Tamandua tetradactyla: one gene and its partners. The protein of the gene in region 1 interacts with the protein of each later gene in a pairwise test. Links are inferred from orthologs where the notes say so. Each region holds a gene or a part of one and is shown on either strand. Other genes may lie near its edges. The genes, in order: EFHC2, LONRF1, COPE and CLIC3.

The links.
Region 2: the proteins of EFHC2 (region 1) and LONRF1 interact in binary tests that used the Homo sapiens proteins (3 or more experiments, as listed by UniProt). The two-hybrid records come from large-scale screens. The link is inferred for Tamandua tetradactyla from reciprocal best matches to the Homo sapiens genes EFHC2 and LONRF1.
Region 3: the proteins of EFHC2 (region 1) and COPE interact in binary tests that used the Homo sapiens proteins (3 or more experiments, as listed by UniProt). The two-hybrid records come from large-scale screens. The link is inferred for Tamandua tetradactyla from reciprocal best matches to the Homo sapiens genes EFHC2 and COPE.
Region 4: the proteins of EFHC2 (region 1) and CLIC3 interact in binary tests that used the Homo sapiens proteins (3 or more experiments, as listed by UniProt). The two-hybrid records come from large-scale screens. The link is inferred for Tamandua tetradactyla from reciprocal best matches to the Homo sapiens genes EFHC2 and CLIC3.

What each region holds. Positions count from the first base shown.
Region 1 is NC_135353.1:127,136,650-127,144,657, forward strand, and holds the start of EFHC2 (EF-hand domain-containing family member C2), read left to right. Parts: upstream 1-5,001; 5' UTR 5,002-5,122; coding exon 5,123-5,164; intron 5,165-8,008. UniProt on the Homo sapiens protein: Microtubule inner protein (MIP) part of the dynein-decorated doublet microtubules (DMTs) in cilia axoneme, which is required for motile cilia beating.
Region 2 is NC_135352.1:16,311,317-16,319,237, reverse strand, and holds the start of LONRF1 (LON peptidase N-terminal domain and RING finger protein 1), read left to right. Parts: upstream 1-4,916; 5' UTR 4,917-4,932; coding exon 4,933-5,638; intron 5,639-7,921.
Region 3 is NC_135337.1:95,906,741-95,913,957, reverse strand, and holds the start of COPE (coatomer subunit epsilon), read right to left. Parts: upstream 3,007-7,217; 5' UTR 2,946-3,006; coding exon 2,820-2,945; exon of another isoform or gene 2,704-2,819; intron 1-2,703. Other genes in the region: putative ATP-dependent RNA helicase DDX49, read left to right, coding at 3,303-3,432, 4,367-4,490, 5,286-5,371, 5,457-5,578, 5,819-6,006, 6,121-6,261, 6,967-7,042. UniProt on the Homo sapiens protein: The coatomer is a cytosolic protein complex that binds to dilysine motifs and reversibly associates with Golgi non-clathrin-coated vesicles, which further mediate biosynthetic protein transport from the ER, via the Golgi up to the trans Golgi network.
Region 4 is NC_135328.1:131,001,214-131,008,504, reverse strand, and holds CLIC3 (chloride intracellular channel protein 3), read right to left. Parts: upstream 2,874-7,291; 5' UTR 2,789-2,873; coding exon 2,753-2,788; intron 1,987-2,752; coding exon 1,877-1,986; intron 1,797-1,876; coding exon 1,671-1,796; intron 1,529-1,670; coding exon 1,422-1,528; intron 1,352-1,421; coding exon 1,176-1,351; intron 1,097-1,175; coding exon 938-1,096; 3' UTR 509-937; downstream 1-508. Other genes in the region: ABCA2 (ATP-binding cassette sub-family A member 2), read right to left, coding at 7,226-7,261. UniProt on the Homo sapiens protein: In the soluble state, catalyzes glutaredoxin-like thiol disulfide exchange reactions with reduced glutathione as electron donor.

The DNA of each region.
Region 1 (8,008 bases):
ACTAGTCACAAATATTGATCAAATATTAGGTCACAAAGAAAGCATCAGTAAGTTCTACAAAATAGAAATGTTACAAACAATAATTTCTAAACATATGCAATAAAACTAGAATTGAAAGAAAAATAAAAAAACAAAAAGAATAACCCTCTTCGAACTGGAAATTTAAAAATCTTCTATTAAACAGTTCTTGAGTGAAAAGGCAAATACGAGTAAAAAAATTATAGAATATCTAAGAAAAACCCAACAAGTAATAAAAACATTACATATCAGAGTCTACGAGATATGTTTAGAGATCAGGGGAAGGTTCATAGCCTCAAGCACTTATATCAATAAAGATAAAAGAATGAAAATGAATTATATTGCAACTTATAAAGCAAGAAAAAGAACAATAAATGAACGAAAAGAAAGCACAAGGAAGAAAACAAGGTAAAAGCAAACAATAATGAGGATTAAGAATAGAAATGAATAGGTCAAATTAATAAGTCAAAATTCTGATACTTTGGAAAAAAGTATGTGTAGATAGGTAGATAGAAAGATAGATAGATAGATATACCACTAGCTACATTCATCAAACCAAAAAAGGAGAAAAACAACTGTATCAAATAAGAAAGACAAAGAAGAAACAAAGATGAAGAATAAAAGTTTAACATGGAATGCAAACAGAAGTGAATGATTCCAAATGTTTTTCAGATGAGTAGTATAAACACTTTAGCTGGTGTGGGGGGAAACTGGGATAGAGGGCAAAGGCTAACCTAAGTAAATTTTGAACAAAATATTATGACTATATACACTAAGATGAAAGAAACAAACAAAAAAACACTGAGAAAATATTAAACTCTAGTTATTCACTTATTTTTCACAAGAATGTGAGTTAGATGTTCTGAAACTGCTTCTTGGGTCTTCTAGTATTGAACAAGTAGGTAAATATTTACCATTCTCCACTAAAAGGAATCAGTGATACTTGGAGAAATGGCTTATTCCAGGGTTGGGGCAGGGAAACTACCAAATGAGCTGGAATAGTATCTTATAGCATCAAAAAGGAAGTGCTCAAAAAATAGTGGGGATGATCAAAAGAACACAGGAGTCAGCTTCAGAGGACAATCTTGGACAATTTTAGAATCAAAATAAAGAATACTAGCGGATTATAATTCACTGAATAAAATAAGAATCTGTGAGATCACTTTGACATAAATAAATGGAGAAGAAGGAAAACTCTTCCTTGTAGGAGAATGTCAAATATAATAATATATGTAGAAGGAGTGATAGAGTTAGTCAATCACCATTTGGCAACTATCATGGTAATAAATGATTCAGGAAAAATAATTAATTGATACTAGTAGTTTAATGAGCAACTTGATATTTATATAATTTCAAAGTATCTCCTCACAAAATTCTTATTGATTAAAAAGGAAAAAATTGTAAATGTTACAGTGCAGGAACTTGGCATGCATCTCCTTCACCAAGTGATCACCAATGATGTTACAAATAGACATTATGTGCTTCTTCATATGATAAACTAGAAGGACACAATACTCCTTCCGTGGTGTCCCAGTCCAAAATTCATCACCTGCATGTACTCAATAGGAAACATTAGTCAAACCTGAATTGATGGATGTTCTACCAAATATCTGGCCTATTCTCGTAAAAAATATCAAGGTCATGAAAGTTAAAGAAAGGTTGAAGACTATTATAGATCAAAGGAGAATAAAGAGACATGACAACCAAGTGCAGTGTGTGAACTTTGATTACATTCTGAACCAGATTTTATGTATTTCCGTATTTACTGCTAGAAAGGACGTTATTGAGACAGTTGGCAAAGTTTGAGTGCTTTTTAGGTTAGAAAATGGCATTGTATTAATGCCAATTTTCCGATTTTGGTAATTTCACCTCAGTGATGTGAAAGAATGCCCTTGATCTTAGGATATATACACTGAATTATGTAGGAGTAAAAGGGCATATCTGCAACTTAATCTCAAATGGAAAAAATATGTATATAGGGAGAGCATAATACAACAAATAGGGTAAAATATGAAACAATTGGGGGAATCAAGTGAAAAGTAAACAGGAGTTTTTTATATTATTCTTTCAACATTTCTATAATGTTGAAATTATTTCAATTTAAAAACAAACAAAAATAAATATTTAAAGATGTTTGTAAAAAAAGTAGGAGAATAACTTCTTTAGGAGTAGTACAAGATTTCCTGATTTCACATACAAAGCACAAACCATAATGGTAATGAAAGATGCATTTGAATAGAATAAAATATCAAATTTATGTACAATAAATGGAATTAAAAGACAAACTACCAATAGTGAGATTTTTGCTATGCTTAAAAGCAGTCATCGAGGACATAAAAAAGCTAGAAATAAATTAGATAATCACAAATTTGCCAATATAAACATCAGCAAAAGATCCTGTGCTGGTTTGAATCTGTTATGTACCCCAGAAAAGATATGGTCTATTTTTAAAATTTATTTATTTATTATTAATTTTTAAATTAAAAAAACATAATAAACTAATGCAAACATTCTTATGATCATTTCGTTCTACATATATAATCAGTGATTCACAATATCATCACATAGTTGCATATTCAACATCATGATCATTTCTTGGAACATTTACATCAATTCACAAAAAGAAAATAAAAGACAACAGAAAAAAATTCATACATACCGTACCCCTTACCCCTCGCTTTCATTGATCACTAGCATTTCAAACTAAATTTATTTTAACATTTGTTCCCCCTATTATTCATTTTTATTCCATATATTCTACTCGTTTGTTGACAAGGTAGATAAAAGGAGCATCAGACACAAGGTTTTCACAATCACACAGTCACACTGTGAAAGCTATATCATTATTCAATCATCATCAAGATACATGGCTACTGGAACACAGCTCTAAATTTTCAAGCAGTTCCCTCCAGCCTCTCCATTACATCTTGAATAACAAGGTGATATCTACTTAATGCATAAGAATAACCTCCAGGATAACCTCTTGACTCTGTTTGGAATCTCTCAGCCATTGACACTTTGTCTCATTTCACTCTTCCCCCTTTTTGTCCAGAAGGTTTTCTCAATCCCTTTATGCTGAGTCTCAGCTCATTCTAGGGTTTTTCTCAATCCCTTGATGCTGAGTCTCAGCTCATTCTAGGATTTCTTTCCCACGTTGGCAGGAAGGTCCACACCCTTGGGAGTAATGTCCCACATAGACAGGGGGAGGGTGGTGAGTTTGCTTGTTGTGTTGGCTGGAGAGAGAGGCCACATCTGAGCAACAAAAGAAGCTCTCTTGGAGGTGACTCTTAGGCCTAAGTTCAAGTAGGCTTGACCTATCCCCTATGGGGTTAAGTTTCATATGAACAAACCCCAAGACTGGGGGCCCAGCCTTTGGTTGTCCGCACTGCTTGTGAGAATATCAAGAATTCAACTTGGGGAAGTTGAATTTCTCCCCGTTCTCATCATTCCCCGAAGGGGATTTTGCAAATACTTTTCCACTCACTGATCAAATCCCTGTGGGATTCATCGGGGCATCAGTCTGGACAAACCAACAAAATCTCATGTTCTACCCAGGATTCCAAGTAGTTTGTTATATTTATACTTTAATGTTCATGAAACCAATAAACCAAACCCAGGATGCCGGTAGCCTTTCCTCAGAGAAGGTATCTTCCTCTTGATGTCTTAATTTGGACAACAAAACAAACGAAAGCAAAAAAGGCACTATAGTTCCTGCCCTTGGAGGAACTTGGGGGAACATATGATTACAACATAGTGGGATAAAAACCACATTATGGATCAGTCCCTAATACACATAAGAGGTGAGCTGGAGAAAGTGAGGGAACATGTCACAGAAATGGTAGAGTCTTCTATGTGTCTCTCTTACACTGAACCAAGTCTTGAAAGACATGAAGGGATTATGCAAGTGAAAGATAGGCAGGAAGGGTGTTTCAAGCAGATCATGTTATCTGCAAAACCCCAGAGGAGTTGCAGGACCTGATTTGGAAATTACTAGTGATTTTTTCGGAGCTGGAATAGGAGGGATGGCAATGAAAGGGACAGAGAGAGTATCAGCAGGTATCCTCTGAGAAAGGCTCTTTAGATCAGGTTAAGGAGTTTGATTGCCTTCTGAAGGTGGAAGGAAGGATAGACTAGTTAAATGGTAGAGTAACAGGTGCATCATGAATTACAAAAGTATTAAATGATGGTTTTGAAGGCAAAATCAGTTAGATTATTATTTTTTTTTTAAAGAAGAAAACCGGGCAAGGAAAAATAGGGGCTCAACTGAGATCAAGGAAGTGGTAATTAAAAGCTACTAGAATATCCAAATAGTAGGACTTGGCGAGGCATTAGCTTTAAGTGTGGGGAGAGGAATCGCGGAAATTCCTGGCCTTGGGCATCTTGGGTGGATGGAGTGATGGGCTGCCTTTTGTGCTGCTTCACCCCACTGATTGGACCAAGAATGAGCATCTTACTTACAAATGTTTACTTCAAATATAAAAATACACAGGGGAAGGATTGAGGATGGTGGCTAATGAATAAATTTTCGTGTGGGGGATGGGTGGGGTATGTGTGGCTTTAGATTCATCTAGAATGTCTTCCATTAATTAAAGCTGATGCAAGCGCAACATAGGAAAACATTAATGTATGTTAATTCTCAGTCGGTACACGGGTGCCATATTATTTTCTGTATGTTTGACCTATTTAATAACTCAATTTCAGAACCAAACGGTAAAAAATATTGTGGCAAGGATGGAAGGTTCTTAAGTACATGAAAGGCTTTGGGATCTATAAAAGTGTTAAACCAGAAAGCGGCGGGGGCGGGAAGTGGTGCGGTTGTCAGCCTTTGTGTGTGCACAAAGCATTGACTGAGAAAAAGACTCTGGAGACCTGCTCTCGGCTGAGCGCCTGTGTGGGTGGGCGGGGCGGGGCGGGAGGGAGGTGGTGAGTGAGGGGGAGGTTCTCTCTCCGCCCCCGCCAGCCTCGCCCCACCCCCTCTGTGACACCGCCTCCCGTCTCCAGGTAACCGATGGGCCAAACAACGCGGCCCTAGGCGGCCGCAACCTGAGGCCTAGAGGCCGCCCCTCTTCTCTCTCTCTCTCTCAACCCTCCGACGCTCAGAGCCATGACTCTGCCGCTGCTGCCCGGCAACAGCTTTAACCGCAATGTGAGTAGCTAGGGAGCCGGTGTCAGAGCTCCGGCCCAGGCTTCCTGCCGTTGGTTCTTCTCCTGAGGGTTGCCTCAACTTTATAGCCTAGTGGAACCCTTACCTCTTCGCCTACACCCGCTCCCCCCTCCCCCAACTGCATCTGGGGGCTTTTCCTACATCAGATACATGAGTCCTAACAGGTGGCAGGACCCTTGAAGGTAGTGAAGACGATAGTGATGATGAAAATACTTAAGAATTACTGTTGAGCGTTTAAGATGTGCCAGGCACTGTTCTTTAATCGCCTTACGCGTCATCTGATGCTCCCAACGGCCCTTTGAATTGGATGCTATGTTGATTCCCATTTTACAGTTCAGGAAACTGAAGTACAGAGCGACCTCACTCACTGGTCCAAAGCTACACAGTCTCATAGTCCAGGGAACCTAATCATTTTCCTCAAATCACTGTGTGAACGAGATAAATATAGTACTTGTTAGTAAAGCGAAGAAACCTCAAGGGGGCTGAAGGTCAGGGTGGCATCCAAACGTGGAGAAATTTTTCTTTATTCAGAATCGGGAGGATCCATTTCAAAGCAAGATGAAGGAACAAAACAAAACACACACAAAAATCCTTGGGCGTTGATGAACTTCTGCCAATAAATAACACCTTATTTAAACAGCAGAAGAAAAGTGCTTGGGACTTTTGTCTGCATTGGTCACTACTCTTTACTTGGTTTTGCCAGTTGTGTCTGAAGGAGAAGGTAACTAATAGATCAATGGAAGAGAACTAAATGAAACCCTTCCGGATATTTACTTAAACCTCTGATAAATTTAGAAACCAGGTGGCCAATTGAAGCATTCAGCTTTATGTGTTCAGGACAGTGTATCCAAGTTGTTAGCCCTAGAGTAACCCCCTTCTTTGTAGCTTTAGGCCGTTAGATTCTGACCCCTACATAGGGTCTGCTCTTTCTGACTTGTACTGATTTGGGCATTTCTTGGCTGATGGGGAGAGGCTGGCCATTCAGCATAGCATTGGCCTTTGGTGGTATTAAGCCAGTCCTTCAAATAAGAATGGATCCGGGGAGGATGGGTATGGGGAAAAAAAAGAGTTTGGAAGTAAAGAAGCATGCTCTGTAAAAGAAATGATTTTTAATAAAGATTGAAAGTACAGCCCACAACTTTTGGCCAGACAACACTTCGGATTACTGCTGCACCTCATGCAGAAGTATCATAGCTTTCATATAGAACATTAAGTGTGGGAAAGAAAAGCAGTGGTTGGATGTGCTATTTTAAAATTTGCAAGGCTGTATGTACTGAGTGTACTTTTGCTTTTTTTTTAACTTATTATATTGTGTGGTACAATATATGTACAGAAAAATACACAATGGATGATCACAAAATGAACATTAAGAAATAGTACATTACCAGTACTTCCGAATTGTAATCCATAACTAGAGTTGCCAGATTTAGCAAATAAAAATACATGTCCCAAATATGGCATGGGACATACTTATATTAAAAATCATTTATTATTTATCTGAAGTTCAGATTTAACTGGGTGTCTAATATTTTATCTAGCAATCCTACTTCTGATCTTTTCTGTTGATCATTCTATCCTCACTCTCCAAAGATAACCGCTATTCTGGTTTTTATAACTATGGTTAGGTTTTACCTGCATTTGGACTTTCTACAAATGAAAACATCTGGTGTTTATTTTTTTCCTGACTAGCTTTTGTTGCTCAACATTATGTTTATAAGGTTTGTTCATGTGGCTATCTGTGGAGGCAGGTAGTATGTTTTCATTGCTCTGTAGTATTCCACTGTGTGAACAATGACATCATTTGTATATACATTTTACTCTTGATAGATATTTGGCTTGTTTGGGGTTATTAAGAATAGTTCTGCTCTATTCCTGTTCATACCTTTTGGTATAATTGCTGGGTCATGTGGTGTTCATATGTTCAGCTTTGGTAGACACTATCAGAGTCTTTATACCAATTTAAATTCTCACCAGCATTTTATGTTCCTCTTGTTCCATATTTTTTTTCTAATATTTGATATTGTTATTCATTTAAACTTTAGTTATTTTGGTGGGTGGATGTAACACAACTCTCTGTAGTTTTAATCTGCATTTTCCTGATTCCTAATGAGACTGAGCATATTTTATACATCTATTGGTCATTTGGATACTCTCTTTGTGCAATGCTTGTTTGTCCCTTGTCTAATTTTCTATTGTTTTTTTTTTTAATGAATAATTTTTCCTTTAGGTTAGTGCTTTCTAAGCTGTTCTCCCATGTTATCTTCTGGAAATTTTGTTATTTTACCTTTAGATCTACAATCAACCTAGAAGACATTTTGTTTGTGTGTATGAAGGAGGTGGGGTTCAGGTGGTAATTTTTATTCATATGTATATTCAGTTGTTTTAGGACCATTTTTGGAAAAGGTCCCCCTTTCTCCACTTCTCTGCAGAACAGCCTTTGTCATTAATCAAGTGCCACAGGTCTGTTTCTACACTCATGAATGTGCTTTAAAAATAAACACAAAAAACCAGAGGATTATTTACTTTATTCCTGAGGCCAATGAAAGTGTGTGTGTCCAGAGAATGAAGAGGGTATTAATTAGATAGATACCTTGGTCTGTCATTCAACCAATTAATATTTATTTGTTAAGCGTCCTAGTATGTGCCCAAATCAAGTGGCTGCGTTTTAAAAATTGTTGCATTAGCTTTGGTACTAAATGTGATGTATGTTGCCCCCCAAATAGTATTATTTTTAAAACTTTTACTTAGTTAAAGGATTGGATGATCTATGGGATAGAATGGTTAGAAAGGTAAAGCCAAATCTTGACTTCTCATCTCCCCACAATG
Region 2 (7,921 bases), on another chromosome or scaffold:
AGTAAGGATCAGGGAGCCCACAGGAGATGGAACCAGAGATGTTGGAAAGTGGGGAAAGATCCAGAGTTGACTTCTGGGGATGGTAAGGACTCTGGATTTTCTTCTGAATGGAACAGGAAGCAAATACTGTGTTTTGCAGAAGAACATGGCTTCTGTTTTAAGATGATCACTCTGGTTGCTTTGTTTCTGCTGGAACAAAGGGGGGTAATGAGAGAAGCTGAGGCCATTTAGGAGGACGTTGCAGTAGTCAGGTGAGAGATGATGGTGGTTTGGACCAGGGTGGTATCAGGGGAGGGTAAGAATGCATCAGATTCGGTATATATTCTGAAGGTAGAACCAGAAAGATTTTTCTGGTAGACAAGATATGACTATGAGAGAAAGGAGAAATGGAGAAAATAAATTTTACTAGTGTGTTAATGATAAATTAATTTGTCACTAAAAAATAAAAAATAAAGATGAAGAATAATACTAGGTGATATTTTTACTTTTTCTTTTTTTTTTTTTTTTGGAGGCAGGGGGAGTCATTCAACAAGGATTATTTAGTATCTTTTCGCTTTTCAGTGTCCTAAGTGCCTAGAGATATATGGGCAAACAAGATGGGCAGAAGTCTGAGCTCTCAAGGAGCTTATATTTGGGGGTAAGGGTAAGGGGTGGGGATTGTTGGGCAACCAAGGAACAAGGATAGAGAGTACCAGGGGAGTTCGTTCCTGGTTATTCTTAGAACATATTAAAAATAATTTATGGGGTTATTCCTCTATTTTTTAAATTTTATTTTATTTTTTGGCATGGGCAAGCTCTGGGAATTGAACCCAGGTCTCCAGCATGGCAGGTGAGAACTCTGCCACTGAGCCACCATTGCCCACTCTATTTCTTTTCTTTCTTTCTTTTTTTTTTTTTTTTGCATGGGCAGGCACCGGGAATTGAACCCGGGTCTCTGGCATGGCAGGCAAGAACTCTGCCTGCTGAGCCACTGTGGCCTGCCCTCTATGTCTTTTTAAGAGCTTAATATTGGAAAATACATTCATCTGATCAATTTGACCACCAAGAAAATCTAGATGACCCACTTAGAATCTCTAGATTCTTCAGCGTATTAGGAAAGAAGAATTAAGAATGGAGCCCTTAGTAAGTCCCTGTACTTTGAAAGCATTCCCCCGTGGGGATAGCAGGTTTTAGTAATGAACAGTAAACTGTCCTTGGCTAGAGAGTAGACACTGTAGCAATTGGGTTTGGCCATCTACTTCCCATCACCTCTATTTAACCTACACAGATTGTCCTCATTAGGGCTTTTCAAAAACTTAGAACACCGTTAGAGCAATCATATACTGTATATTTTTAGCATCTTACATAAACTTTCCCCCAAATGCCCAAGTTATATAACCCGCCTCCACAGGCTTTCCTCCAGCCTCTCAGAGATTTACAGTAGGGGCTAGCAGATATGTGAGTGTGGGGGGAGTGGGGGGGGGTGAGTATGAGTGGGAATGGGGGTGGTCCCTGTCCAGTGACTGAAAGTATTCATGTCCCAGAGATTGGTTTCTCCTCCTCTGAGCAGGGTGGTTGGATGCTAACACACTGTGCTTCTTGGTGCCCTCAGCCCTCACCCTCTGCTCTTACATTCCCATCAGGTGTTACGCTGCTCTGTTCCAGAGTCGGAGAGATTTGCTGCCTCTTCTCATTGTGCTCAATAAAATCCCTACAGCGTCCCTCCAGCGGCGGAAGGGACCTTCAGAGATCTTTACAGTTCCTTCATTTTACAGGCAGCAACTGAGGCCAGGAGACATCAGGTGACTTCCTCCTCTCCATTCTAGAGCCATAAATATGGTCAGCAGATTCCCTACCCAGTGGGATTTCTGTTAAACCAGCAGCTTCTCAGCTCTCTATTCTCTCATATATATATATGTGTGTGTGTGTGTGTGTGTGTGTGTGCGCGTCTGTGTGTGTGTGTGTGTGTGTGTGTGTGTGTGTGTGTGTGTGTGTGTGTGTAGGAAGGTGGACTCTAATGCCCCTCCTGTCTGTATCTTAGGTTTGGGTATATACCGATTAAACTTTAGATTTTACTGTTTTCAGTGCATTGTGTAGAATGTTGTTAACCGAAATGAGTCAGGGTGAAGACATACATTTTGCTTGGCTCTTTAAAGGCTCTTTAAAGCTTCAATTCAGTCTTTTTTAATGATAAGAATGTGAAGAAAAAATGGTGAATTCACCCACATGAAAAAAAAAAGGTTCAAATATACATCTTAATCTAGCTTATGTATAAAAAAACCACTGTGTTATGTTATTAAATAGGAGTTTACCTAACTATATCAGGAAAAGTCTCCTTATGGTGTGGGGGTGGAGCTGGGATAAAGCAGGGAATGATGGTGATAAGCAGTTTCCAAATTAGGAAACAGATACGTTTTTCTTCTTACTCTTACATAACTGATCTCATTTTAGAAGACACTAAAAAACTGAAATGAAATGCAAGTCTCACAGCTTTACTATTTCGTGAGCAAAGAATGACAGGGGCAAGTAATGCTTAAAAGGAAAAGAGAGGAGAGCTCTTTGCTCCTTCATACTCCTTACCGTCCAGAGGCTAAATTGCAGGATTCTTTTCTCCATCTCAGGCTGCAGGTTGAGTCAGAGATCAAAGTCTAAATTTTAGACAATGAGTGAAAAAAAGATCATTTCTCTCTCTCCTTTGAATTTAAAGAGAAGCTGCATTAAAGTGCCTGTATATCCCTTTTTGTCACACAGAATGACAGAAGAGTGACCTGTTGTACTGCCGGTGATTGCTTTGCCCCAGACTTCCTGAGTCAGAGGGAATTTGTGCGGCACACAAAAGCCACAGCAGCAGTACAGCCTCTTACATAAATAAGTTACATAAATGAGAACAAGTTATGTAAATGTATAAACCAGCAAACATGAATTACAGCCATTCACAAATGCCAGGGAGAATAGAGCAAGATTCCTCCCAGCGTCCCATTCTTTTTCACACATTATCATAATTGTGCCATTTTATTTTATGCCAGAATTAGATTTGGTTATTTGTCATATTAAGGAAAGCAACTCCAAAGGACAAATGATACTACCCATTATTTTCTGAACCACACATTTTACATGGGGGGGGGGGGATATCCCACAATAAATGTGTGTGGGCATCTGACTAAAATCTTTGTTCTGCTTATTGAGGGAAGGTAGTAATTTAGGGGGTTAGGATTAAAGGTTATGCTCCTGAATTAATCATGCCCACCACCTCCCACCACAAATGATTAGGAATTGTTTTTTTGGACCATAGCTGCAATTTGTTTCAGGTACAATGTGCATGATAAATGAACTTGTTTGCCCATGCATTCTTTTGCGACAAGAGCCTCCGTTTTTCCTCGGTGAGCTCTTCATTCTCCTCCCCACTGGGGGTAATGTAGCTATATCTTCTCTGAAGTTACTTGATTTGCTCATTGTATAAGAAAAACAAGTGTGACTCAGAACAGGCTTAACTGTTCTGGATAAAGAGGTATATTAATTGTTAGCCAATTTCACACATAATAGGCTCAGTTTAATATCCCAGCTAGCAACTTCCTTTACCTTGGAAATTCATGAAAAACTTTTCTAAGAATTAACATAGTATTGTAATAATGGGATAAGAGCTGACTTTAAAGCCTTTGTACTCTTCAGATGGATTGTATGGCGTCTGAATATATCTCAATAAAAATGCATTTACAAAAGGGAAAAGAACTGTTAGTATATTAACTGTGTGATTTTGGGCAAATAACTTTCCCTGTCTGGGTCATTGATTCCCGTTTGAAAAAGGACTAAAAGTTGTCTTAAGTCACTTCCAGCAATGGCAATTTAATACTTTACAATCAAAACTATAATTATTTATAACTGAGACCTGTAAATGCTGCTGCTAGTTTAAAGGAAATATAGCCCTATATATATATATATATATATAAATTTTTCCTTCTGACGTCAAAACTGCGGACCTTGCTTCAGTTGTAATGATATCGCAACTGTCATTTGAAAACCAATTTTCCTGGTGTTTTCCCTTTTAAAATGACAAATATAGACATTAGCCTGCTGTGGGGCAGTGATTGTGGCATGCGAAGGACAACGGGCATCCTCTTTGGCGTGGAAGACGGGTTTTAAACAGGAAAGAGCAGTAACTTGCACCTGGAAAAATCGCCTCGCTCTCTGGAAGGAGAGACTTCTTAGGAATGTGGGTGGGTTTTGTTTGTTTCTAAGGTTGACCGACTCTAGACTTGAGTCACAAAGTCACCAACTGAGTCTGAGCATCTCTAGGCACTCCGCCTCTACCTGTCCATCTGTAGCTTGGGGCATAAACTAATGAAAATGCAGACCTGCACCTGACAATCAAGACACCACCCCGCAGCCTCCCACTCATCAGGCAGAGAGGGCAGGTCCCCACCCAGGCGGGTGGGTCAGGAGAGGGTCAGCTGTCTGAGCTTCAGAAGAGCGCCCACCAAACAGGGGCTGGGGAAGAAGAAAGAGGAGAGGCCCTGGCAAGTGGGGTGCGTCCCGTGAGAAGGCAAGGGAGACGGAGATTCCGAGCTCCTTTGGGCTTTGTTCAATAACAGCAAGCCGGGCCCTTCCTTCCGGGAGAGGCCAATTACGTCCCCGCTGGGGGATCATCTGACCTCTCTTCCTTCGCGGGGAGGGGGTCTGGAGTGGGCGGGGCCAGCGAAAAGCTCCTCCGGAACCGGGCCGCGGGGCGGTGCGGAGGAGTCCCGGACGCCGGAGCCCAGCCAGGCCCCGCCCCGCGTCTGGCCCCGCCCCTCCCAGCCCCGCCTCCCGGGCTTCCCGGGCGCGCGCCGCCCCGCCGTGTCCGCGCGCCACGCCCCCCTGCCCGCGGGCCGCGTGGGAGCCGCGCGCTCCGGAGGCTCCCGGACCGTGGCGGCGGGCGGGCGGCGGCGGCGGCGGCGGCGCGGCCCTCCCGGGGCCATGTCTTCTCCGGCAGTAGCGAGGAGCTCCCCGGACGGGAGCCGGGAGATGGCCCCCAGGTCGCGGAGCCGGGCCGGCTTTTGGGAAGTGGGCGGCGGCAGCGGAGACCGGCTGGAGCGCGCGGCCGCGGAGTCGGAGCGCTGGGAGCTGCTGCTCCGCCGCGGCGAGCTGCTGGCGCTGGGCGGCCACCTGAAGGGAGCGCTGGAGGCTTATTCGGCGGCGCTGCGCCGCGGGGCCCCGGCCAGGCCCGAGCGCCTCGGCACCCTGGTGGATTGTCTGGTGCTCAACTACCGGCTCCGCCACGGGCTGGGCTGGAGCGCGGCCCCGGCCGCGGGAGCGGACGCCGGCGGGCTCCTGAGCTGTCTGGGCTGCCGGGGCTTCCTGAGCGAGCCGGTGACCGTGCCCTGTGGCCACAGCTACTGTCGCCGCTGCCTGCGGAGAGAGCTCCGCGCCCGCTGCCGCCTGTGCCGGGACCGGCTGCCGCCCGCCGCCGCTGATGCTGAGGGGACCACCCCGCGGCCGCCGCCTCCGGCCGCCGCCATCGCCGCCTCGGGCTTCAGGACCAGCGTCGTCCTCAACCACCTGGCGGAGAAGTGGTTCCCGGGCCAGCGGGAGCGGGCCCAGGCGGCCGGCCGGCTCTGGGAGCTCCTGCACCAGGGGCGCTACCGGGAGGCCCTGGCCGCCGCCTGCGAGGCGCTGCAAGCAGGTGACCGCACGGGGATGCGGCGCGGGCCGGGCCGCCGCCACCCTCCCTTCCCCGACAGAGCGGGTCTCGGGAGTCTCTTCCGCCCCACTGAGGTGCCCCGGCCTCCCCGAGGCCTCCCGTGGGCCGGGTGTCGGGGTCCTCGCGGGTGTGGGAGGGGGCGGCGCCCGGGAGTGCTTCGGTCACAATGGGGATCGCCTTGCGAGCCGACTGTGACGCGGCGCAGGGAGGGGCGCCCCGGCGCGGGGTTCCCGCCGCTCTGCGCTCGGGCGGGCGCGTCCGGAGCGGGACGGTGCCCCGGGCCGAGGCCGCGCGGCCGCGGGATGGGGTGGGAGTCGGGCGAGCCGGGGCAGCCCCTCGCTTCCTCCCGCGCTCTTTCCGGTCGTCAGCCGCGGCCTCCCGCCGGTGGGGGTGGGGGTGGCCGGGCAGGGGGGATGGGGTTGATGATAGTGGGGCCGGGAGAGCTCCCCGGCCCGGGCAGGGCGTGTAACGTTTACCACCTTCTCCCACAAAAGTCACCCAGGCAATTGGAAGCCGCGGGAGGGCACAATTGCATAAGCTGGGGTGGGGGTGGGGGTTGTGTAACGGGTGACGTCGGGGGGCGTGGCGGGAGCTCCGCGCCCGCACCCCCAGGCCCGCCCGCCAGCCCGCCGCTGGGCTCCCGGCGGGGTCCGACCTGCTCTGGGACGTTCAGCTCCTGGCTGAAAATGCCTTCAGAGTTGCCCCTTCTCTCGTAGGGTTCAGCCTGCCGATTTCAAGTCCAATTTCTGTCATATTCATGTGTACCTGCGCGCTTGTTTTCGAATCCACTGAGTTGGTCGTAAGGATAAAGAGTCTCTGGTGGAGTTTTGTGCCTTGCTTCTTTTTGCCTTTCCAACCTTTTTCAAGTCTTTTGTCTCTTTCTTCGCCTCCAGGGCGCCGCTCTTGCTTCAGAACTCATGCTTTTCTTAAGGTGTTTTGAAACTGTGGAAGGAGGCAACGTCGAACGGCCGCGAGTGAAGTGAAGAGCTACTCCTTTAAATAAATTGGTTGTTCTCAACGAGGGGGGATTTTGCGTCCCCCGTTTGGCGACTTCTGTGCACAATTTTGGAGGTCGCTACTTGGGAGGGGGTTGGTACCTAGTGGGCATCTGGTGGGTAGAGGCCAGTGTTGCTGCTAAACATCCTATAAGGCAATGGACAGCCCCTCACAACAAAGAATTATCAGGCCAAGATGACAGAGGTGTTGTTAATAAAGAGGCTAAATTAGAATTAAATAAGAATGTTTCAAGATTTTAATGTCTATATAGGTATAAAATATTACTTGGGGGAACAATCGCCAAGAAAATAGACATTTAAAATATAAGTTAATGTTAGGAACTAAGTAAGTTTATAAACCATGTAACTGGAAGTTTCTTGTTATGGGTCTTTCCCTTAAGAGCTTATTCATTTTGAATTAGTGACAATATCAAGTTTTTTAAATACCTTTAGAGTTCAAAGCACAAACCCAGCATATTTTCATATTTTTTCAGCATCTGTATGAGGAGTAGGCAGTTAAAAAATTGAACAGAGTGATAGTCCTAGAACAAAAGAAATTTGTAGTACAGGATTCTGGTGCAGAGAACTTTACCTCTCAGGGTGAATGGAATAAGAGTTGGGAAACTGGACTTGGCTGTACAGATTATCTAGCAACTATCCATGGTCTTCATTTTTAAAATGAAGAAGCAGAAACCAGGGCAGAGAAGTAACTTGTTCACAGCCACACACTGGCTGTTTTCCTAAATATTGCTGGTTCAGGAATTAAAGCTGCCTTTGTAACTCGCCCAGTGAAAATGTTTAATATACATTTCCAAGAATTTCTTTTGACACTAGTACAAAATTGAAGATGAAACGTATTGAGAGCATTATTTAGTATTAGCTACTAATTTAATCATTAGAACCTCAGGTTAGGTCCTTTTTAAGTATTCATTTCCTAGCCCATGGGAAAACAGTGAAGTGTATTTACTAATTAAGGTCTAGTTTAAAGTTCTATGAATAAAGAATTTTTTTTAATTGATGAAGATCCTGGATCTTGGATTGACAATATTATTTTTCAAAAAAGGCCTGAGAGTTCTACACTTCTCTCTCTTTAAAATTTGCATTGGCTAGCAATGGAAATTTTGCCCACTCACCTACTATTCTAGTTTGCTAGCTGCCGGAATGCAATATACCAGAAACGGAATGGCTTTTAAAAAGGGGAATTTAATAAGTTGCTAGTTTACTGTTCTAAAGCCGAGAAAATGTCACAGTTAAAACAAGTCTATAGAAA
Region 3 (7,217 bases), on another chromosome or scaffold:
TCAGTTTGTGCTGACCTGTCTTCAGTGTCCCCCCATGATGGAGCAGGCCAGCGGCTCAGAGACCAGCCACCAGCAGCCACCAGCGAGAAGTGGGCATTTGCAGCCCCTTCCCCACAGGACGGGCCCCACTGACATTGCACTTTGGGGTTGAGATTAGGTTTGCGTGTTATGAAGTGAGAAGATTCGCACGGCAAGTTCACTTCAATGTCAGAGGGGGCCCTGGAAGGTGAGCTTGAATGCGACTCCGAACCTCAAAACAACTCTAGATATAGGTGCCATTACCTCGTCTGACAGAAGGGGAAACTGAGGCTCAAAGCAGTACAGGGGCTTGGCCCGTCCCAGAGAGAGCAGAGCAGAGAGGAATACAAGCTCCCGGCTGGGAGCCAAACACAATCACGGCGTGTTCTTGTTTCCCAGCTACTAAAACAAACACCACACTGGGCCAGCTTAAACAGCAGGAATTTACGGGCTCACGGTTTTGAGTCAGGAGACGTCCAAAATCAAGGCACCAGCCAGGCGATGCTTACTCCCAGAAGCCTGTGTTCCACAGCTAGGGGCCAGCGAGCCCGGGTCCTGGGGAAATGACGTCTACAATGGGGCTTCACTCCCAGAACACAGACACAACCAACACGTCCAAACTGCGGGGAGGTGGGATTCAGAGAAGGCCCCAGAGGCCAGAGAAGGCCCCAGAGGGAGGTGGTGGGAGGTCAGAGAAGGCCCCAGAAGGGGAGGTGATGGGAGGCCAGAGAAGGCCCCAGAGAGCTGCACCCCGAGCCTGGCACCGGCAAGCAGCTGACGCATCACAGAAGGGGCTCTGCAGTTCACATGGGAGGTCCCGTCAGACCACACGTGCAACAGGGAATTCGCTCAGTGGGACCCGGAAGGGATTCAGCAGGAGGAAAGGTCAGGAGATTCCAAGCATAGAAGGATTTGCCGCATCATCGTGGGATCTGAGATGGAGGGGGAGGACCAGAGAGTGGCAGGAGGGTGGCCTCAGCTGATGGCAGTCAGGAAACACCTCAGTCCCACAAGGATCAACCTGAACGAGCCCATGTCAGCCGAGGTCTAGCAGAACTGACAGGATGGATAAGTACAAATGTAAATATTAAGAGATACGTGACAGGAACATGCTGTAGGGTAGCAAGTCTGAGTTCCATAGGGCAGGCCACAAGCTGGGAACGCAATGAAGATTTCCATGAACTCCCTGGAGAAGCCGGTTGAGGCAGAGGTGGAAATTCTTCTTTCTGACTGCAGAAATCCTGTTAGTTCTCCCTTCAAGGCCTTCAACTGATTGGATGAGGTTTCTCTCATTGCTGAAAGCAATCTCCTTTGTTGATTGTAGACACAATCAGCTGCAGATGCAATCAACTGTCTAATGCTTCAGATCCAGAAAATACCCTCCCAGAAGCAATCAGGCCAGTGCTTGATTGACAAAACAACTGGGCACCATAACCTGTCCAAATTGATACACTGACATAACCATCCCAAGCCTAGAAGCAGATTCTCCCCCAGAGTCTCCAAAAAGGAACATACCCCGTCTACACCTTGATTTAGCCCAGTGAGACCCAGGCCAGATGTCTCACCTACGGAAATTGTAAGATATTCCATTTGTGCTATTCTAAGCCATTAAGTTGGTATGAATTTGCTTCAGCAGCAACACAGAACAACAACTACACAAATGTTGTTTCCACAAATCCTAACAGCTTACTAAGGTCCAGGACACCGACTCAGAGAAACCAGGTGAATCCATCAGGTGCCAGAAACAAGGCAAGTGTCCAAATTCCTCCTCAGCCCTCTGTCGCCTTAGGGCTCCAGCAGTCTCTCATGCCTTCAGAAAAAACTGCAAACTCCTGCTATAACCACCTCATTCTCTGTCCTCCCCCTCATTCACCCCATTTTGGATCACAATAAAGAGGCCCAGGCTGGCTTCTTCCACCGTGACCAAGCCATGCTTGCACAACTGAATGGCATCCTTCAAAGAGATATATTGAAGTCCCAACCCTGAGCACCTTGGGACGTGATCTTACTCAGAAATAAGGTTGTAATAGGTGAATTAGACAGTTAAGCTAAGCCTGTACACATGACTGGTGTTTGCATAAGAGGGGATCTGACACAGAGAGGAGGACGAATGCCAAGGATTGCTGGCAAGCCACCACCAGAAGCGAGGGGACAGGCACAGAACAGAGGTTCCCCTACAGACCTCAGAGAGAGCCCGGCCCTGTCCACACCTTGACTGCGGACTTCTGGTCTCCAGAACTATGACCTCATAAATTCATAAATCTTTGTCGTTTTAAGCCATCCAGTTTGTGGCACTTTGTTACAGCAGTCCAAGGAAACTAAGACACCTACAAATGCTCAATAAAGAATGAATGCGTGAACAAGCAAGTGAAGGAGAGGGTTTTGGGAGAAACAACCGGACTAGTCGGGCAGGATAGCTTCGGGAAAGCCACTTTCCTTCCGGAGCCTCGCTGCTGTCAACTGTACAATGAGGACAGACATCCCCACCTCACAGGTGGTGAACGCACAGCGGGCACTGAGCGGGCGCTCGGCAAAGGGACTCAGGGTTCGTTACGCTGTTACTACTGTTATTTACCGTGACCCTCGTTAGAGCGCTACACATTGCTCCTAAGTCAAACGCCTGCAGGGCGCAGAGTGGGCGCTCAGGAACAGGAAGTGGTGCCGCCTTGGGTTTCCTGACGGAACAACGGAAATGCCCCGGCGCGCTCTGAAGGGGCGAGCGGAGGGAAACCGCCTCGAGGAGACGAAGGGAAATTATGAGAAGTGAGCGCGGCCCGCGATCACCCACGCCCCGGCCGCACCTTCACCCGCTGCGCCTCGTTGATGCACTGCTGGTAGCTACCGATGTAGAAGGCGTTCTTCACGTCAAAAAGCTCGTCCACCTCGCCCGGGCCGCCGGGGGCCGGGCCGGGAGCCGGGGGCGCCATCTCCTAGTCTCACTCGCTTCTCTTCCGGAGGGACACGTCGGCCGGAAGCAAGCGCCCACCGCGGAGCACGCCGGGAAGTGTAGTTTTCCTTGTTCCGGGAGGCTGAGCTCTGAGCCAATGGGAGGCTCGTAAGCCGAAGTAGGGGGGGCGGAAGACGCAAGGGCCTCTCGCAGGGCATCTCGGGAATTGTAGTTTAGCTGGGGTCTGGCATTCGGGGACACGCGGTAAAGAGGCGGTGGAGGCCGGGAATGGTCAAGTAAGCTGAAGGGGGCGGGATCACCAAGGAGGAGTAACCAATGAACGAATAGGTTCTCGTGACGCCATTGGCACGCGCCGGAAGCGCGGCTCACACTGTTCATGCTCGCGGCGAGGATGGCAGGTTTCGCGCAACTCGGGCTGTCTTCGTGGCTCGTGGAACAGTGTCGGCAGCTGGGTTTGAAGCAGCCCACGCCCGTGCAGCTCGGCTGCATCCCCGCCATCCTGGAGGGTGAGTACTCCTCACCCTCCGCCTCTCTCCGCCCCCCTTCCCTTCTCGCAGCCTTTGCCTATGGCCGGTCCCGAGGCGAGGACCAGCCTTTAGCGTGCCGGGCCAGCCTGAGCTCCGGAGGCACCCAGGACTGCGATACCGTTTAGACTGCACGATTCGGTCTCTGCGTGTCTGCAGACAAGTGGCTTAACCTCTCTGAACTTTCCTAAATGTGAAGCACAGATCGGGTTTGATGAGTGACTTGTCAATAGTACTGTGGGATTTGGCAGAGCGGGACCTGCTGTCTTTGTTTTGCAAAAAAGGAAACTGAGGCTGTCAAAATTGGTGCTGGATCCTGGACCACGTGGTCCCCTGACCGTCCTTCTCCCCACTTTCCTTGCCTAACTCTGTTTTGCCATTTAAGACGTCCTGGGAATTTCAGTTTTTTACTGCTTTCAGCCCAGTCTTTCTACTCAGTGTCCTGTTAAAAAATGAGAGTTGTTTGTGTAGGCCTAGTGCTCCTTTGGGGGGATATTTTAGGGTGTAACAAGTTGAGGCCCTGCGTAAAAGGAAAGTGAAGGAAGCGCTGTGGAGTGTAGGATGCAGGTTGGGGGAGGGCATTCCAGATTTCCCAGTCCCGGATGCTCCAGACGAGTGAGAATGAGGCGGTGGCTAGCAGCACAGCATCTTGGGTCAGGTGGACATGAGTTCTCTCCAGTCCTTCTAGTCACCAGCTCTGTCCTGGGCGAGTCCATGAGACTCAGCATCTCTCTCTATTTAATGGGACTGGTGATGGTTTCTCCTTTATATGGTGATTGCTCACGTGCCAGGAACTTAAAGGATACAGGCTGGAGCAGGGTTTGCAGTAACTACTTATTAAATGCCGGCTGTCCTAAACTGCCGCATGGAACTGTTTGTGGAGCATGTGGCTGCTGCTTTGTCCTCCCCTGCCCAGGTCGGGACTGCCTGGGCTGTGCCAAGACAGGCAGCGGCAAGACGGCAGCGTTTGTCCTGCCCATCTTGCAAAAGCTGTCTGAGGACCCCTACGGCATCTTCTGCCTCGTCCTGACTCCCACCAGGTAAGCCCCCCACGGACACCCTGGGTGTGATTAACTCGCTGTGTTCTCTGGGACAAATACCTTCACTGCTCTGTGCCACACTTTTCCCATGTGCAAAATGGGGTCAGGCATCGAGCCCAGAGCCTCAGCAGAGAAGTCCAGAGATCCATACAGTGAAAAATAAGAGTGTTCAGTACGACCCAGCCATTGACTGGCACGAAAAAAAAGGACAGGTCCCGTGACAAGCAGTGAAAGCTGAGTGCCAGGCGGTGTGCATTTAATTGGATCTGAGGAGAGGGGTCACGGGAGGCTCTGTGTGAAGGATGCCAAAGGGTCACGTGGGGATGAAGCAGTGTAGACCAAAGAAACCGCGAGTGTATCTATGCAGGGGTGTAAGGAAAAGATAACAAAAAGGTGGTGGAGGCAGCTCACGAATGGCCTTGAGTGCCAGGCCAAGGCTTTCGAATTGTTTGAGAGGTGTGAGCAGAGAAGAGGACGCAAGCCAGGGAGGGGGTCCGGGTAGAGCTGGGACTTTGGGGCAGGGAGGAGGGGACTGGGCAGGGCAGAGGAGGCTGGTGCTCAGGTTTCTCTGGCTTGGGCGCGGGGGTGACTGGCGAGGCCATTACTGAGAAGGGGACCATGGAGCAGATGCAAGTTTGGGGTAGGGGCAGGTGCCAGTTTGGGTGGAGTTAGAGGGAGCTAAAGGGACTTGGTGTGGATGAGTTGGGAGGCCAGGAGGAGGCCTGGAATAGGGTGGGGACGGGCGGCAGGGGCGGGCGCTGTGCTGGCCTCAGTCCAGTGCCTGTGCACCCACAGGGAACTGGCCTACCAGATCGCTGAGCAGTTCCGGGTTCTGGGGAAGCCGCTGGGCCTGAAAGACTGCACCATCGTCGGTGGCATGGGTAAGGGGGTGCCGGGGGTCTCCGGGCCTGGGACCCCCAGCGTCCTCAGAGCCCCACCCAGCCCCCGCTCCTCCTCCGCCCACAGACATGGTGGCCCAGGCCCTGGAGCTCTCCCGGAGGCCACATGTGGTCATTGCCACGCCAGGGCGCCTGGCCGACCACCTCCGCAGCTCCAGCACCTTCAGCATCAAGAAGATCCGCTTCCTGGTGAGCTGGCTCGTCGGCCCCAGGCCGGGCTCAGCCTTCACATGGGGGGCTCAGATCCGTGTCGTCCCCCTCCCCCTCCCAGCAACAATGGATCACCCAGCAGAGTGTTAGGAACTGAGAGGAGGGCAGCCTGGGGGACCGAGCAGCCGGGGCCGCACGCAGCTGAGACTGGCGTGAGGAGGGCGCTCCCAGGAGGCAGGCGGCCCTGGCTCATGGGCCTCACCCCCATCTACCGGGCAGGTGCTGGACGAGGCCGACCGGCTGCTGGAGCAGGGCTGCACCGACTTCACCGTGGACCTGGAGGCCATCCTCGGGGCAGTGCCAGCCCGGCGGCAGACGCTGCTTTTCAGCGCCACGCTGACCGACACGCTCCGGGAGCTGCAAGGCCTGGCCACCAACCAGCCCTTCTTCTGGGAGGCCCAGGCCCCGTGCGTCCCGGGGGCCCGGGGTGGGAGGGATGGTTGGGGGGTCATGGGCGTTCCAAAACCGTAGACCGAGCTGGGCAGGAGAGAAACTGAGCTCGACGGCCCTGCCCATGCCAGGGTCAGCACGGTGGAGCAGCTGGAGCAGCACTACCTGCTGGTGCCCGAGAAGGTCAAGGACGCCTACCTGGTCCACCTGGTCCAGACCTTCCATGACGCACACAAGGACTGGGCCATCGTCATCTTCACCCGCACGTGCAAGTGAGCAGGCTGCCCCGCCCAGGCCTCGGGACCCCAGCGCCCTGGTCTCTCCCCAGCAGCCACACCAAGGCCACAGCCCTGGGCTGGGCAGCAGGTCCCGGGAGCCTGGGCACAGTCTGGGCACATAGAGGCAGTTGGCTGAAAGCAAAGCTCAGGGTCGGGCCGTGAACCTGGGTCACCCAGCCCAGGGCAGGCTGGGCCCCGCTGATGCCTCAGCCCCTCTGCAGCTCTATTGCCAAGCAGCCCTTGAGGCCCCGAACCCCCTGGGGAAGCTGCCATGGCCCAGGGTGTCACTAATGCACGGATGTCCAGCCCGTACCTAGCTGGTGGGCCTCTCAGACTACTTCACATTGGCTCCTACCAGAGGCTGGTCTGGCACGAGACAGGTTGGCTACCCCACCCTATGCCAGGGAGCCAGACTTTCTAACTGGCTGTTTCCCAAGGAAATATATCAGTTACCAGAAAAGTGAAGGGCTGGCTGGAGAGCGGCTGTCAGGTACGGCGGGATCCAGCAGCTTACATGATGCTGACTGGTCTCTCTCACTGCCTGTTTCCCGACTCTCCTTCTTGTGGGTGGCAGAGTTTGGTGACAGCAGACCTTCCGGCACCAGCCACCCTCCCCCTTCCTGAGCTGTGCGGGGCCCCCTGCTTGGCTTCTGGGGGGAACGGGGTGGGAGGGGCTGACAGGTGTGTCCTCACCTCCAGGACCTGCCAGGTTCTGTGCATGATGCTCCGCAAGTTCGGCTTCCCCACCGTGGCCCTGCACTCAATGATGAAGCAGGTGAGGCCGGGCCCTGCGCCCCGCACCAGCCACGGGGACTTCACCCTGGCCATGCCCTCCGCTGGGAACATGCTTTTAGCCATCCTTGCTGCCCCTTCTCCCCGCTGCCCACCCACACCCAGCTTGTCCCCGTGCTGAGATGCGGCCTGAGCCCCCTTGCTTTCCCAACCTGGCA
Region 4 (7,291 bases), on another chromosome or scaffold:
GAGCAGAGCAGAAATCACCCCACAATGAGCCTTTGAGGGGAAGGGGAGCACTGGAGACCCTACCACTGCCTCCTGCCCACCTTGCTCCTCAAGCCTCTTCCCATCAAATAAATGCTCCCTCGCAGCTGGAACAGCCTCTGCACCTGGGGGCTGGCCTGGGGGGGAATCTGGGAGCTCCGGCCTGTGGCCTGCGCTTGGGCTGGGCCCCAGGCCACAAACAGTGTGATAGTGCAAAGCTCTGTGCTCCTGGAAGAGCTTTCCTGGCGGGGTCTGGCTGGGAGAGTATCCGGCTTTCCCAGATCTGTCCACCTCTCCTGCAGGGCCAGCCCAGGAGCTGAGGGGGCGGTGCTCTCAGGGCTAATGGTCTTCCAACAGGTGGGACTCGGCTCCTACCCCCAGGGCACACGGCCCGCCCTACGCACCCCACCCTTCCAAACCACACCCCAGCAGGGCCATAGCCACGTGAGCACACACACACACATACACACAAGTAAATGCACCCAGTGTGTAGGTTCTATGTGGTAACATGTTTGACCCATCCAGTCCCCTCCCCAAGATGGGGGGCAGCTCCCGCCCACCTGGCCGTGAGCCCTGATGTGTCTGGGGCTGGGCCTCTGCTCCTCACCCACCTTCACCCTCCTGCCTCCCCACCCTGCCCTGGCCTGACTGGTTTGGGAGCCCAATCCGGTCCTTGCAATTTTTGTCACAGCCCAGATGGATGCAAGAGGCCCCAAGTCTGTGTGTTTGCTTGATGGAGAGCCTAGGGGGCTGTGGAGGGCTCTCCCCAACCAATGGCCTCTCCTGTCCTTGCATTCTGGGTAGGTCATCTTGAGGTGACTGTCCCACGCAGGAGGCTTGGGCAGCAGTCATCTCAGGGCCTCTGGTCCCTCAGATGTTGGGCCAGCGCACCCAGGGCAGAGAAGCTGGTGCTGCGTGGCTAGCGGGGGTGCACAGCGGGCCTGTAGGCCGCCAGGATCTCGGCGCTGTGAGGACACGTGTACTTGAACTCCTTCTCCTGCAGCGCGCTCTCCAGGTAGCGGCGGACACCGCGCAGTTCGGTGGGGACAGGCGCCTGGCGGAAGTGCGCGCACACCGTCTGCGGGCAAGGGGCGCGGGTCACGGCCTTGCGCAGACCCTCCGCGGTGCCCAGCCCGCCGCCCTGCGCCCTGACTCACATCCACGACGTGCAGCTTGGGCAGCAGGCCGCAGTCAGCCAGCGTGAGTTGGTCGCCGTCCAGGAAGCGGCGGCGGGACTCACGTAGCTGCGGCTCACGCGCAAGCTCGTGCTCCAGGGGCGCGCGCAGGTAGCCGTCCAGCTTGGCGAGGGCGCGCAGCAGGAGCTGGTACAGGGCTGGGGGTGGAGGGTGCGGTGAGGACCAGGCCCGGGGCTGCTCTCCCAGCCCTGTTCCCCGTTACCTCACCATCATCCTGCGCCGGCACCGGGTTCTTGATGAACGCAGAAAACCTGTGGAAGACGTCGTTGCCTGCCGTGGTGGACTCCCGGTAGCGGGGCGCCAGGCTGGGGAAACTGCGAGGGGGATGGGGGCGGGCCTTGCGTCACATTCCTAGGGGGCTGCCCACCCTCTCAGCGCCCCCAGGCACCCCCACCCAGGCTGTGCGGGTTGTTTTCTCTGGACCCATCTTTGCCCCTCTCTCCCTGCCGCCCTCACTCCGGGGGCCCCAGGGTCTCCTCCAGGAATTCTTCTATTTGCAATGTGTCTGTCTTGGCCTCGCCGTCGTAGAGCAGGATAGGCAGCTGCGAGCCGGGGGCGAAGTCCTTCAGCACATCAGGGGACCTGGGGGTGTGAGGCAGGCCGTGAGGGCTCTGGCAGGGGCTCCCCGGCTGGGGCTGGCATGTCCCAGGTGGCAGCCTCACCTCCGTGTGTCCACAGTGGTGAGCGTAAAGGGCACACCTTTGAGGAGCAGGATCATGAAGAGGCGCTGGCAGGAAGGGCAGTGCCCCACGCTCTCGCCGTCCTCGCTGGCCTGGGGTTGGCGGGAGGAGGGCGTCAGGGCCAGGAGCCGACCTGGGAGTCTGGCCACAGGCTGGGTGGGAAGTGCCTCCCGCGGCCAGTGGGGACTGGAGCAAGGCCAGGGCTGCCAAGAGAGTGGTGAGGGCCCTTGACTTGGGCCCTGAGCAGTGGAGAGAGGCCCAGGGCTGGGGTGAGACCACAGCCTGGGCCCTCCATCCTCTGCAAAGCCTGGGCCGAGGCCGGTCCCTGGGCTCTGGGCCCAGCAGGCAGGTCACAGGGGTGGGGTGGGCCCGGTGAGCTGTTTCCTCGGTGATTCACTCCACCAAACTGGGCTCCGTGGCTGGCACCGCACTAACTCCCAGCACCTCAAGGGTGGGCAGGGGCCAGAGGCTGACAGCTCCTGCACAGGCCCTGAACACACTGGCTGGCCTGAGGGTCAAGGGGGCTGCCTGGGCCTGCCCCTCCCGCCGCACTGACCCCAACTCTGAGGACCATTTCAGGGGCCCTTCCCACCAGGGACTTTCCTCCAGGAGAGTTTAGCTAGGCCCCGGGGCCAAGCTGGGAGCGGGAACACCATTCACTTAGAGGAGGGCTCCCAAGTGGCATTCCCCCCCCCCCAGGCTGTCCCCACTTTACTCAGCCTTGGTGGCCTGCCCGAGGCCCTGAGCTTCATTACAGGGGTGGGGGCTTTGTTACTGCCCTGAGACCCCTCTCAAGCCTGCCCAGGAAGCACAACCCCCAGTCTCCCGGCCCCTTTCCCCACCCAGTCTGCCCAGCACCTTGATGAACAGCTGGAGCTTGGCGGTCTCGGCCATGGTGGGGAGGCTGAGCCAGGGCGCTGGGCTCTGGGCGGGGGCCCGGGAGCTCTTTAAGGTGCTCTGGCTGCCCCGCCCTCTGGGCCCAGGCCCGCCCCTTGGAGCCACAGTAGGAGGGGGGGTGAGTAGGGGGAAGGCGGTGAGGCGGCTGCTGTTGGAACCTGTGGGCGTGACCACAGGGGAGCCCAAGAGCCAGGTGGACAGGGCTCAGTGGCCTGGAACTCGGGGCCACCTGGGGCAGTTCAGCCCTTGATCAGGCACACCACTGCTCCTGCCCCCCCCCATCCTCCCTGCAGTGAATACCCCATTGTCAGAGCCCCCAGCCCAGAAAACCAGGGTGCCTTTATTGGGGCTGGTGGGGTGGGACGTGAATGCCTGATCTCAGCCTCTGCCTCAGTTTCCCCATCTGTGGGATCTGGCCACTAGCAAAGTGATAAGCCCACCTGGGAGGGACGCCCCTCTAACCGGTTGACTTCGTCTGGCCCGTCCCAGCTGTACCTATCCCTCCCGGGCTCAGGGCTGTGCCAGCATTCCAGTCGTGCCCGCGAGGTGGAGGGAGAGCCCGCCCTGGTGTAAGGGAGGGCCCCTGCTGGCGCCACCCTCGCGCCCCTCGGAGCAGCCTGTTCTTCCCTTTCGGAAAGAAGCTCCGGAGACGGGTTAGGAGGCACAATCTCCTGACCGGGTGTTCAGTCCCCACAGGGGGCCCGTGCGGGCCCGCAGGTCAGCACAGGCTCCTGGCGGTCCCGTGTCTCCCGGGGGGGCTTGAGGAAACCACTGCCCAGATCCGCCCCTACTGAGGTCTCCAGCCCCGTCGTCGGGGGGCGGGGTTAGACCCCGGGGGCTCTCCGAGAGCTGCGGGGGCTCGGCTGCCACCTGGTGGCCACAGGCGGGATCGCCGCGACACCGCCCTCTCTCTCGCTCGCACTGCCCCGGGGGCCCTAACGCCAAGGCCCCGACTGGGCGGCCGCGGTGGCGCCTGCTCCAGAGGCCTATGCTCGCCCGCCCACTCTGCCAGACTCGCCTTTTTGCAAAGCCGCAGTCACACTTCCGGGGGCACCCGTCGCCTGAACCAGGACCCCGAGAATGTCCCAGACCGACATCCCCAGCGCCATGCCTCCCGACCCAGTGGGGCTCCCCGCACAACTCCCAGATCAGGAGTCTTGGGGGATCTGCGCCCCTGCTCGCCCTACACTTCAGGACTGGCCCTGGGGTCTTAGTTTCCTCTCCAAGTGCCTGCTGTGGTTGGAGAAAAACGGCGCCCCTCTGGTCTCCCACCTCCGTCGCAGCCTGAGCTCCTAGCACCTGCACTGCTGACCACTGTCCTTGGGGTACATACGTGTCTCTTATTATACTCTGTAAGAGAAAAGATGAGCTGTGCCAATGATGTGAACAGGTGTTTCAGAAAAAAAGGAAAACTGAAACAAGCTATGTGGAAAGGTTTCTTCACCTTACATATAAAAGAAACATCTGAACAAGATAGTTTTTCTCATTCCAACTGGCAGAGACGTGGGAGAGTGCATTTGGGGAGTGCACTCGTAGGCGCTAGCGTGGGCCCGGCTGGGAATCCTGAAGATTCCTCGCTGGTGCTGCACGTGGGCGCCTGAGCCACCCGCCGCTGCGGACTCCCGGAAGCCCCTGTGCCTGCCCTGGAAGGTCCTCGAGCCCCCTTCCACGAGGTTGTCTACGGGCACCTGTGTGAGCACACGTCTGACAGTAAGAGGGAGACAAGCAAATAGGAATGGCTTGTTAGGATCATTCTGTATCGTCTCCTAGGGCTTCGGGAACAAAGCACCTGGGCTGGGACCATGGCTCAACTCCTGTGACCAGGTGACCTCACCCCCCTGCCTGTCTCTCCTCTTTTAAGGACAGGCATCGTGAATTTAACCAATCACATGGGCAAAAGATGCTGCTTCCAGGAAAGGTCACATTCTCAGGTGCCTGTGGATGTGAATTGGGGGGACAGTGTTGAACCCAGCTCTACATCACTTTGAATGAAGCTCGGTGACCTCCTCTGAGCAGCAGCACAGAAGGTGAACTTTACCTTCTATCCATCGGTATTGCTGAATTCTCTACCACATTTTCATCGTCAGTGTTTTAAGGAAATTCATGGTCACCAACCTCAACCAGAGGCAAGGTCCGTTTAGCTCCAAACCTCCTGCCCCCCTCAGCACACTCTCCTCCCCGCCCCTCATCCTGCAGGGGCCTTGCCTCCCCTGGATTCAGAGTTGCCTCTGGGGCCTGGCATCTGAGCATTCTTCTTCTTTGCAGGTCCCTGGGCTGGAGGCTGCCGCCTGAGGTGTCAGGACTTGTCTCGTGTATCTGTAAAACCCCTGAAGGACCCCTCTGTAGATGCCCCCAGCGTCATGTTAATGCAGGCACGCTGGGAGGGGGGCAAGGAGGACCTGGGTGCAGGGGGGTTCCTGGGGAGGGGGTTGGGGGTAGGCGCCTCTCCTCCCAGCTCTGGGCTTGGGGGACCTGGAACAGGCGCTGCAGGCACAGTGAACCCAGTGCCCCAGCTTCTAGGCTCTGCACCCACTCCCCGCTGAGAGGGCTGAGACCCGACAGACATGGCTGATCCAGGACTGCGGCAGGAGAGGAGGGAGCACGCCTGGGAATCCTGTAACAAATTCAGGAAGTGCTCAACCAAATAGGCACCGGACACGAAAGCTGTCTTGAAGGGGTCCCATGGGCCAAACTTGAGCAATAAAATCGACCCTAGTGGATTATATTCACTTAAGGAAGAAAAAATGAGTCTGCAGTGACATTTTTAAAAGGGGAATGGTCTTCGGGAGAAAAATGGCAGCTAATAAATGCAGAGAGGATGAAACACTTAGGAAATCCCCACTAGTGGCATCCATGGAATAAATAAGCATTCCTGTGGGCCCAAACCACCAGATACCCGGCCCAGAGGGAGGGAGGCCGAAGGTGGTGGTCCACCTGCCCCTTCTTGGGTGGCTGTCACACCTACCCAGCCCCTCCAATGCGTAAGGGTCCCTACGGGTCTGGCCAGCTCAGTACCCTCCTGGGGCTGTCCCCCACCCCAGGGACGGCCTGCACTCCAGCAGTCCCCAGCATTACCTCCAGACATGGCTTCAGGACCATAAATGGGCTGCCTTGGCCCCCGAGGCCCCAAGTGTGTGGGTCTGCCGTCACCCTTCCCTCCCTCCCTCTCTCCTTCCCCATGCCCCGCCCCCACCAGGTGACCCAGCCCTTGTGCGTGTCCACATTGCCCTGTCCTGGGGGGTCCTCTACTGACGTCTCAGCTCCTGGGACCCCGCCCTTCCCTCTCGGGGCTGACTTTCCTGTAAAGCACCAGGTCCTGGGAAGTTGACTCAAGGGAGGCAACAGGTTCTGGTGCCCCAAGAGGGCAGCAGGGCCTCCAGGCCTGTGGGTGGGATGCCTGTGGCAGCCCCCAGGTGCTCCCTGGCGTGAGAGAGCCCTGATGCCCCAGCCATGGAGCCTGAGGGAGCTGGAGGGGGGTGGGAAGGGCAGCACTGTGGAGGCAATGGCCCTCCAGCCCCTCCCCCAGACTGCCCAACGGCCCCCTCCCCACGGCTGGGCCCTGGGCCAGGGCTGCCTCTGCCAAGATAGACATTCCGGACGGGCCCATGGGGCAGATATGGTGGCCAGGCTCCAGCCCAGCCTCGGGGCCCTCCGTTCCCCAACACTCCACCTTGCACATACCACTTCGATGGGGTCAATTTTGTTTTTTATTTAAAACAAACATCTGTGCGCTATGTACAGGTCAGGCTCCCGGCGGGAGGGCTAAGCTGATGGGAGAGCGGCAAGTAGCTGGGGGGCTAAGGGGGGCTAGGGGGGCTGGGGACGGTGTTGGGCCCCGGCCTGGTGGCAGGACCAGCTTCTCTTTTCTTCCAGGCACACATGCCACCCACCCGAGACAGCCCCGGCCCCTGCCCACGGCTCCCTCTGAGGACCCACCTGCTTGAAGTGGGGTGAGGGAACCTCTCCTTAATGCAAAATAAATAGGGGAAATGCCGCAGCCACCCCTGCCCGGCCCCACAGCTCCGGGCCCTGCCGGGCTGCCTGCCAGCATCCAGGGTAAGAGCAAGGCAGGCTCCAGGCACTGCAGGAGAGTGGGGCGCACAGAGCGTGGGTGGTATGGCTAGGCCCCACAGTGATGGGCAGAGCAGGGCAAAAGCAGGGCCACAGGGCTGGGCTGGGCCCCGAGGCTTTAAGGCAAAGCGGGGTGAGGGTGTGTGGCCCGTGGCTGGGCCAGCCTTTGGCACAGTTGGGAGTGGGAGGCCGAGGTGACCACAGGGCAGGGGGTGAGGATGGGGTGGGGGGTGGTAGTGAAGCCTATAGCCCCCGGACCCCCAACTCCAGGACCTGGTGGGCAGGCTCTGGGGGTTCAGGAGTGGGGCCTCAGCCTCTACCCGACTTCTGTCCCTAGCCATGTCCTGATCTGGCCCCTCGTAGTCAGCAGAGTGTGTCCGTGTTGAAGGAAAGCTGGGCCTGGGGGACAGCAGGCAAGCCCGTTTAGGG